2 linked regions of the Macaca fascicularis genome follow. The protein of the gene in region 1 interacts with the protein of each later gene in a biochemical or structural test. Links are inferred from orthologs where the notes say so. Each region holds a gene or a part of one and is shown on either strand. Other genes may lie near its edges. The genes, in order: ATF4 and CREBZF.

Region 1 (4,206 bases):
TTTTGGGTGAGCTCCCCAAAATCTGTCTTCTAACTCCTACCCTATACTCCCTCCACTGGGAGCTGTGCGACTTTGAGCAAGAAGCTTCATCCCATTGGGCCTCGGTTTACCATTGGAAAGGACTTGTGGGCGAGGTTGAATGAGCGCAGCAGATGGCCTGTGGTTATTTAGAGCAGTGCTTCCCTGGTGGTTTGATACCACAGCGATCATAGAAATACTTGTGTGGCCCGGTGAAATGGAGGCGGAAACAGTTTCTACCTTCACAGGGCCTGACTGGAGGGGGCTGAGGACGATGCGGAGGTTTCCTGTATTAAAACAGACTACCCCCCCTTCCCAACGCACAACCCCGAGCACGTGGCCGTGGGTTCCCAAGCGCCTCTCCTCCCAGGGCCATGGGCATGACCACTGAAAAGCGGGTTAGGCCGGGGAGTTCAGAACCCGGAGTGAATCGAAACTACCCCAGGTAGATGGCAGCGAAGAAAATTCTGTTCTTAGGGGAACGCAATCTTCGGACACCAGAAGTTCCCCTATGATGCTATTCTGTGGCAGCCTCGCACTTGAGCCGGATGAGAATTGTAAAAACCCAGGTTGGGCGACAGGACGGCGCGTCTTCCCGGCTCCTTTCCAGAGTTTAGACGGAGCCATGCAGACTCAGCTGGCCTTTGAGTGTAGGTGGGCAGGCCCGAGGCGCCCTCTCGAGACCCCTTCAACCTCCCGGGGGCAGCAACACCGTGTCGGCTATGAATGGCGTCTCTGGAAAACTCAGGCTTGGAACAGGTAACCCCGCGGTTTCCGCAGGCCAGAAATTAGCCCCCGCAACCGAAGGACGCGCAGGCTGGGAGTGGCGGCGGGGCCGCCAGTGGCGGACCTCCACTGAGGGCGGCGGGACCCGACCGCAGGGGCTGGGCCCTGAGGCCACTATGGGGTGCGCTAGGCTAAGGTCTCCTGGGGGCAGAAGCCAGTGCGATTGTAGCTGGCCAGCAGGCTGGCCGGCCTGAGGCCTGGCAGAGACCCGAGACCCCGACCCTTCCCACGCGGACTCCGTGATCCCTCTCCCAGCAGCCGCCCACCTGGGGCCCTGAGCCAATAAGAGCTCGAGGTATATATGACTCACCGTGCCTGGGCCAATCAACTTGACGCGCGCTTTTCGCCAGCACCTCGCGCGATAACTTGGCGTCCTCGGCCTTCACAATAAAAACTCTCCGCCGGAAAACGACCTCTCCCCGCCCACCGCGCCGACACCGGAAGCGAGGCGTGTCTGCGAGATCACTCCGCGCTCCGGCGGCGAAGGAAAGAACGGACTCTGATCATAGAAGTAAAGTAGTGCACCTCTCTCGTTTCGTGAGGTCATAAGAACAAACACCTTTTCTCGTCACAGCTACGCGCTGGGCATAAACGGTTGGGGCGTCAAAGGGAGGGAAACGAGCGGGCGGGAGGAGATGGTCACGTGGCCGTGGCGGAAGGATGCGTCGGTGCTGCGTCCCCTTAGAGACGAAGTCTATAAAGGGCCGGCGGGCGGCTGTTGCGGCCATTTCTACTTCGTCCGCCCACAAATGTAGTTTGGTTCGCACGTGTGCGCCTTCCCTCCTCCCCGCCCGCAGGGTCCACGGCCACCATGGCGTATTAGGGGCAGCAGTGCCTGCGGCAGCATTGGCCTTTGCAGCGGCGGCAGCAGCACCAGGCTCTGCAGCGGCACCCCCCCCCAGCGGCTTAAGCCATGGCGTGAGTACCAGGGCGGGTCGTCCAGCTGTGCTCCCTGGGCCGGCGCAGGTTTTGGGTTGGTGGGGTGCGGCCTGGGGCCCAGGGCGGTGCCGCCAAGGAGGAAGCGATTTTACGAGCGCCCGGGACGCGTGGTCTTTGCTTGGGTGTCCCCGAGACGCTCGCGTGCCCGGGATCGGGAAGGCGCATTCTGGTGCCAGGACTGCTTCCACAGGGGCCCTGCCGCCCTCGGACCCCGAATCCCCCAAGGGTCCCAGGGGTCTCGGCTTTCCCCCCCCGCGAAACGTGGCAAGAACCAAGATGGCGGCGGCAGGGCGGCGCCGCGGGCGTGAGTCAAGGGCGGGCGGTGGGCGGGGCGCGGCCGCCCTGGCCGTATTTGGACGCGGGGACGGAGCGCCTTCCTCTTGGTGGCCGGTGGAAGAATCGCCTGGTCTCCGTGAGCGTCCATTTTGTGGAACCTGAGCCGCAGCAGGGAGGGGCGGATGCAACTGCCCCGTTGCCGACTCTGTAGATGGCTGGACTAGAGAAGTCCCGCCTCGTAAGTGGAAAGATGAAATTCTCAGACCAGCTAACCTCTAATGGGAGTTGGCTTCTGATTCCCATTCAGGCTTCTCACGGCATTCAGCAGCAGCGTTGCTGTAACCGACAAAGACATCTTCGAATTAAGCACATTCCTCGATTCCAGCAAAGCACCGCAACATGACCGAAATGAGCTTCCTGAGCAGCGAGGTGTTGGTGGGGGACTTGATGTCCCCCTTCGACCAGTCGGGTTTGGGGGCTGAAGAAAGCCTAGGTCTCTTAGATGACTACCTGGAGGTGGCCAAGCACTTCAAACCTCATGGGTTCTCCAGCGACAAGGCTAAGGCGGGCTCCTCCGAATGGCTGGCTGTGGATGGGTTGGTCAGTCCCTCCAACAACGGCAAGGGTGAGTGGGCCACCACCACATCGTCTGGGTGGGATCTAGGGTTAGGGGCCTGTTATCTTTGTATCTGACTCACTTGGCCCTGTCATTCAAATCTTTTGCAGAGGATGCCTTCTCCGGGACAGATTGGATGTTGGAGAAAATGGATTTGAAGGAGTTCGACTTTGATGCCCTGTTGGGTATAGATGACCTGGAAACCATGCCAGATGACCTTTTGACCACGTTGGATGACACGTGTGATCTCTTTGCCCCCCTAGTCCAGGAGACTAACAAGGAGCCCCCCCAGACGGTGAACCCAATTGGCCATCTCCCAGAAAGTTTAACAAAACCCGACCAGGTTGCCCCCTTCACCTTCTTGCAACCTCTTCCCCTTTCCCCAGGGGTCCTGTCCTCCACTCCAGATCATTCCTTTAGTTTAGAGCTGGGCAGTGAAGTGGATATCACTGAAGGAGATAGGAAGCCAGATGCCACTGCTTATGTTGCCATGATCCCTCCGTGCATAAAGGAGGAAGACACCCCCTCAGATAATGATAGTGGCATCTGTATGAGCCCGGAGTCCTATCTGGGCTCTCCTCAGCATAGCCCGTCTACCAGGGGCTCTCCAAATAGGAGCCTCCCATCTCCAGGTGTTCTCTGTGGCTCTGCCCGCCCCAAACCTTACGACCCTCCTGGAGAGAAGATGGTAGAAGCAAAAGTAAAGGGTGAGAAACTGGATAAGAAGCTGAAAAAAATGGAGCAAAACAAGACAGCAGCCACTAGGTACCGCCAGAAGAAGAGGGCGGAGCAGGAGGCCCTCACTGGCGAGTGCAAAGAGCTGGAAAAGAAGAATGAGGCTTTAAAAGAGAGGGCGGATTCCCTGGCCAAGGAGATCCAGTACCTGAAAGATTTGATAGAAGAGGTCCGCAAGGCAAGGGGGAAGAAAAGGGTCCCCTAGTTGAGGGTAGTCAGGAGCGTCAGTGTGCTTGTACATAGAGTCTCTGCTGTTGCTGTGTGTTGGAATAAATTATTTTGTAGGGAAAGTACTTGTGTGGATTCTTTTTCTGGCAAATTAGCCGAGTGAGGCGCCACCCACCCATCCCAAACTGGTCATAACATTCCTTGTGAGATCTGGGGAGGAGGGCAGTCCAGGACTGAAGATGGGTACCCAGAGTGGGAACTGCTCGCCCTGCTAGGTGTAAGCCACGATGCCTGATGACTCATGGGGCCATACAGCCAGATAGTTGGCCAACTGTAGCAAGTTGGGTCCTTTACCCAGAGGTGAGTTCGCTGGTTGTGTAGGGAGGAGGCTGGAGCTCTCTGGGAGGTTGGGAGGGAGGGACAGCCTGGGCCTCCACCTATTTATTCAAGAGGGCTTCATGCCAACAGCTGTCGCCTGAAACCCTGGATAAGCTTGCACAGTCCTTGAGATAAGCACACAAGATTAGTTTTCACTTGTTACCCTGAGTTCTGTAGAAGCGTGTTCCTGAAGAAAGAAATGGCTCCTTTTCGGAATTGATGCTGAAGCAGGACAGGAGCTGAGGGTTGGCCTCCATTTCTCCTTATGGGGTGGAAGGATGACATCCTGC
Region 2 (4,502 bases), on another chromosome or scaffold:
CAACAAAACATTTACAGTTGTGCAAGAACAAGGATTCCATTTTCATAACCAAATAACAACAAAATAAAACATTTTATGTGTAAGATAACTTACATCTTTGGACTGCTGGAAAATACTTTTTAATTATGAACATTTTAAAAATAAAAAACAGCAGAAGCCCTGATATTACCTCTTTTTCCTCATTTCTTATACTACCTTTTAAAATAAAGCAGGAAATGTGGCCAGCAGCTGGTCCCGTCTCTTCTGCCCCAACAGCTGTATCCACTTTAGCACAAAGAAAAACAAGGATGCTAAATACGTATATACTTTATCAAGCAGTGATGTTTCACAAAGAATTTCTTAATGCCTCTTACACTGAAGGACACCATAACTCAATTTATACAAATGGTTAATAGATTCAAGGGAAGAATAAATCCCACCTTTGGGAAAATAGTGCCAATCGTGTTATTTAAGTGGCCAGAAGCACTCAATTTAAAAAATTATTCTAAAATAAGACAAATACTTTTGAAATACAGAGAATAAGATTCTTTGTGAAGCCTCACTTTACACGTTTTCATTCACATTTCACAACCTTCAATATCTAATCATACATATATAAATTTAACCTAAAATTTTAATACAACAAAAATAAAGATGTTCAACAATTTATTCATACTCAGTGATAGGGTAATCACTGCTGGTCCTCAAAGAAATATTAACCATTCTTATTCTCGAAGTAACTAAAACACAGAAGTCTGATATGCATGTTAATTTCCAACTTCTCTAATGGTGAGATACTAAAATCTGTTACTCCGTATAGACTGTTTCTATATCTCCTACTGAAAACTAAAAGGCATTGATATTTCAGAGGTACCTGTCACCTCCAGCAAAATAACTATCACATTTGTGCATGCCCCAAATACTTATTGTCAACCTCTGAAAAGTTGCCCTAAAATCGGAATTCCAATTTGCACCTTGTACAACTCGGAACTTCCATTCAACTTCACCTGTTTCACTGTCTCCAAACTGTATCTCTATAAGCAGGTTTCAGTGTACAGTTGGAACCGATGTCATCCAAGGCCATGTCCACACTGGGGACAGAAGAGCTAGGTACACGCAAGTCTGAATAAGGGGACACATTAATAGCTATTTCAACCAGAAGAGGCATCTTAAATACATTCTTGACCAGCACAAGTCTGTTTCCAGGGTGGACAGGGCCCAAATTAGATTTCCCTCCCACCTTCCAAAACAGGAAAAAAAAAAACCACACACACACAGACTGAGATGTTGCCCATTAAAGTAGACTAAGCAGCAGAGCATGAGCGTTACGGGAAGAGATGGATCCTTACCAGGTTGTGAGGCGGGAACGACTGTTCTGTAACCCCTACAACGGAGCCTGGCAGGAAGGAAATCACCTAAAAAAGAAACTGTCAGAGAGATTTAATAGTCACATGTTATCATTAGGAGTTGGTTACTGTGTCACATTCATGCTTTTAGCTAAACACTTTAAGATTCAATATTACTTTTTTTCTCTCCTCTGAAATGTGTCCGGTGAAGATGTCCCACTAAGGTAAGTTTGACATGGTGTAAGGGAGTTGAAAGGGGTAAACGCGGATAAAGAGCAGATTACTTGACCCTACATTTTAAGAGAAGACGACGCCTTCCGGGCGCACGCCGAGCAGAACTCCACCGACACCTTATCCTTGTCCACATGGAGACAGACTCCTCCCGCCGAGTCGTCCTCTTCCAGCAGGTCCTGCTTCTGCTTTCCCACCGGCAGAGCGTAGTCGTGGTCACCGGCGGGCGAGTCTCTGAAGAGCGAGGTGGTCAGCCGCAGTCCCACGCCGCTCAGCCGGCTCAGCAAGCGAGCCAGTCCAGTCTCGTTGGCTAAGACTGCCCGTAGGTAGCGACTCTCCTCCTGCAGTGCCTGTACGCGTTTGCCCAGCTCCCGATTCTCGGCCCGCAGTTCCTGGTTCTCGGCTGCCAGACCCCGTACTCGACTCTCCAGCCCCATCACGTACTCCTTCTTCTTCAGCCGATTAAGGCGGGCAGCGGCCGCCGCCGCCTTCCGGGGACTCTTTGTCGCCGCCTGGTTGTTGTCGTTACCGCTGCCGCCACCGCCGCCTCCTGGAGACTTTTTCCGCCTCTTTTCGGCGCTGCCACTGTCACTGCTGCTGCTGCAGCCTCCGATACCGTTTAACAGCCTCTGCAGCAGGTCAGAGAAGCGCTGCATTTCAGCAGCCGCGGCCTCATCGTCATCCTCCCCTCTCCACAGGCCGCCGCTATCCGAGCCTCCGCCAGACGAGGAGAGAGGCCCCGGCGAGCTAAGCCCGGGGTCCAAGTGCCAGTCCGGTTGCCGGGGGTCCAGGAGATCCGCCAGTTCCAGCCCAGACAGAAAGTCCATATCCTCCGTTTCTTCTCCGGGGAGGCTGGCGATCGCTTCCTCCTCCATCTCCTCGGGCGAGGGCGCGCGCACGGCCACCCTGCCGCGGCTCCCCCTCCCGGCTTCCAACTCCCCTTCGTCGCCAAGCTGCTGCTTGCGGCCGGGAGATCCGGCCGCTGCTGTCTCCTCCTCCCCCGCTGCCGCCCGGGTGAGGTCCGAGGGCAGCGAGCAGGTTGCAGCCGGGGCTGGGCTCTCACTGCGGGTTGGGGAGTTGCTGCCCGAGGCTGCCAGCAGCTTGGTCAGGCTATGCCTCATGAGGGCCGGCGGCGGGCCGCGGTAGGCCCTGGCCGCTAAGAGTGGGCCTCACGGGCCCCAAGGATCCCGCGCCCCAGGGCGGGTAGCCCCCGGCACTGGCCGAAACGAAATGCAGGGAAAGGTCCGAGTAGCCTCCCGCCTCAGTTGGCTAGTCGACCCCCCGCGCAAGGGCGCAGGAAGGGTCGGGAGAAAGAAGCGGTGAGGCCCACTGATGACTCGACCGCACCACCCAGACAACGGCCTGGCCGGAAGTCAGTGGTTTTCGCCCCAGCCCCGCCCACCGCGTTTCGCGCGCCACCAGGCCGTAATATCGCGAGGTTTTAGGGTGCTTTGGAGTGGGAATAATTCCAGCTTTCTAGTGACATCATAATAACTGCAGCAAAAATAACAACAGACTCTAGATTTATCCACCCTAATTCAATAATACCGCCCAATACCCAGACTCAACAGTTCAACACATTGTTTTGCCATATTTGCTTTATCTTTACATAAATGCTTGTAAATTTTTTTTGCTGAATCATCCTAAAGTTGCAGGTAAGACACCACACCCCTGCGTACTTCAGTGTGCATCTCTAAAACTAAGGACTTTTTTTCATAATCATAATACTATTACCAAGTCTTCAGAAAATTAACAATCGTTTACTAATACTATTTAATACCTGGGCCATACTAGATGTCCTCAGTTGGATAATGGATATGCTAATTACCCTAACCTGATCACTACATTCCATATGTATGGAAACATCACTATGTACCCCATGAATGTGACAGTTATTATTTGTCAATTAAAAAAAAAAAAAAGGAATGTAGAATACAACGTTCCTTACAAAAATTGTCTTCGGTTGTTCATGCCATTTTTTACAAGTAGGTATTTTCACTTGAGCCAAGATCCAATCAGTACTGACTTACTGCATTTGGGTAACGAACAAAAACTCTGACAAATAGAGCCAGAAAAGGCTATGAAGAGAGGGTACTCATACTTGTATGCCTGAAAACAAAGACTGCAAAACTACAACGTTGCACAAAAACCATCACGACCTTATACAAAACCTCTGCAAGGATGTCTGCCCAGAAGCTGCCTGTCCAACCTTGAACTGACGTCACCCTTGTTATTGACCTTTGTAGTCAAGATAATTATTTCAAAACAATGTGTAACCATCCTCATTTTTTTTCCTTTAAAACCCTTTGTCTTCCTTCGTCTTCCTGCATACACACATAGTTTACTATGGCATGCGTTTTCCCATTGAAATGCTCTATTTTCAATGCACATCTTTTATTTTAGAGACCTTTTCTGTTTGTTATTTAGGTTCACATCCCACAAGGGATTTGAGATTTGAAGCAGTTTACAAATACAGATATTTAGGTTCATATCCCACAAGAGATCTGAGATTTGAAGCAGTTTACAAGTACATTAGAATATAGTAAAACAAAACATTTTGAATTTTTAAAAAGCAAGGCCAAAAAAAAGATGAACTAGGAAGAGAAGGAGTTCTGAAAGGGGAAACGGTTAATATTGGAATTGGATGGATGCAATATCTTACTCAGTTGTTTGAGTTGGGCTAAAATTGTTTCCTGACAGCCCAAACAAAAAAAGAGAAATGAATTTTCCTTTGTTCATAAGTAAAGTATATATGAATTCTTTAACCACTTTTCTAGTTCTTAAATCTTAAAGAAACTTCTCTATAGGATACTGAATAATGTAGCAGATATCCTCTAGGATAGCTGCTTCTATACAGTATTTCTTAAGAGAGACAGAAAGCAAGTTCCAGGAAAGTTGAACACTGACAGGTCCTAAATATTGAGAAACGTGCTTGGTACACTGCAC

Evidence for each region.
Region 2: the proteins of ATF4 (region 1) and CREBZF form a complex in vitro, tested with the Homo sapiens proteins (2 studies listed by IntAct, with this or other methods). The link is inferred for Macaca fascicularis from reciprocal best matches to the Homo sapiens genes ATF4 and CREBZF.

What each region holds. Positions count from the first base shown.
Region 1 is NC_088384.1:12,124,598-12,128,803, reverse strand, and holds ATF4 (cyclic AMP-dependent transcription factor ATF-4), read left to right. Parts: upstream 1-1,529; 5' UTR 1,530-1,722; intron 1,723-2,326; 5' UTR 2,327-2,418; coding exon 2,419-2,644; intron 2,645-2,745; coding exon 2,746-3,575; 3' UTR 3,576-3,660; downstream 3,661-4,206. UniProt on the Homo sapiens protein: Transcription factor that binds the cAMP response element (CRE) (consensus: 5'-GTGACGT[AC][AG]-3') and displays two biological functions, as regulator of metabolic and redox processes under normal cellular conditions, and as master transcription factor during integrated stress response (ISR).
Region 2 is NC_088388.1:84,705,503-84,710,004, forward strand, and holds the start of CREBZF (CREB/ATF bZIP transcription factor), read right to left. Parts: upstream 2,932-4,502; 5' UTR 2,678-2,931; coding exon 1,620-2,677; coding exon of another isoform or gene 1,616-1,619; exon of another isoform or gene 1,503-1,615; intron 1,407-1,502; coding exon 1,391-1,406; 3' UTR 1,329-1,390; intron 1,102-1,328; 3' UTR 987-1,101; intron 265-986; 3' UTR 196-264; exon of another isoform or gene 1-195.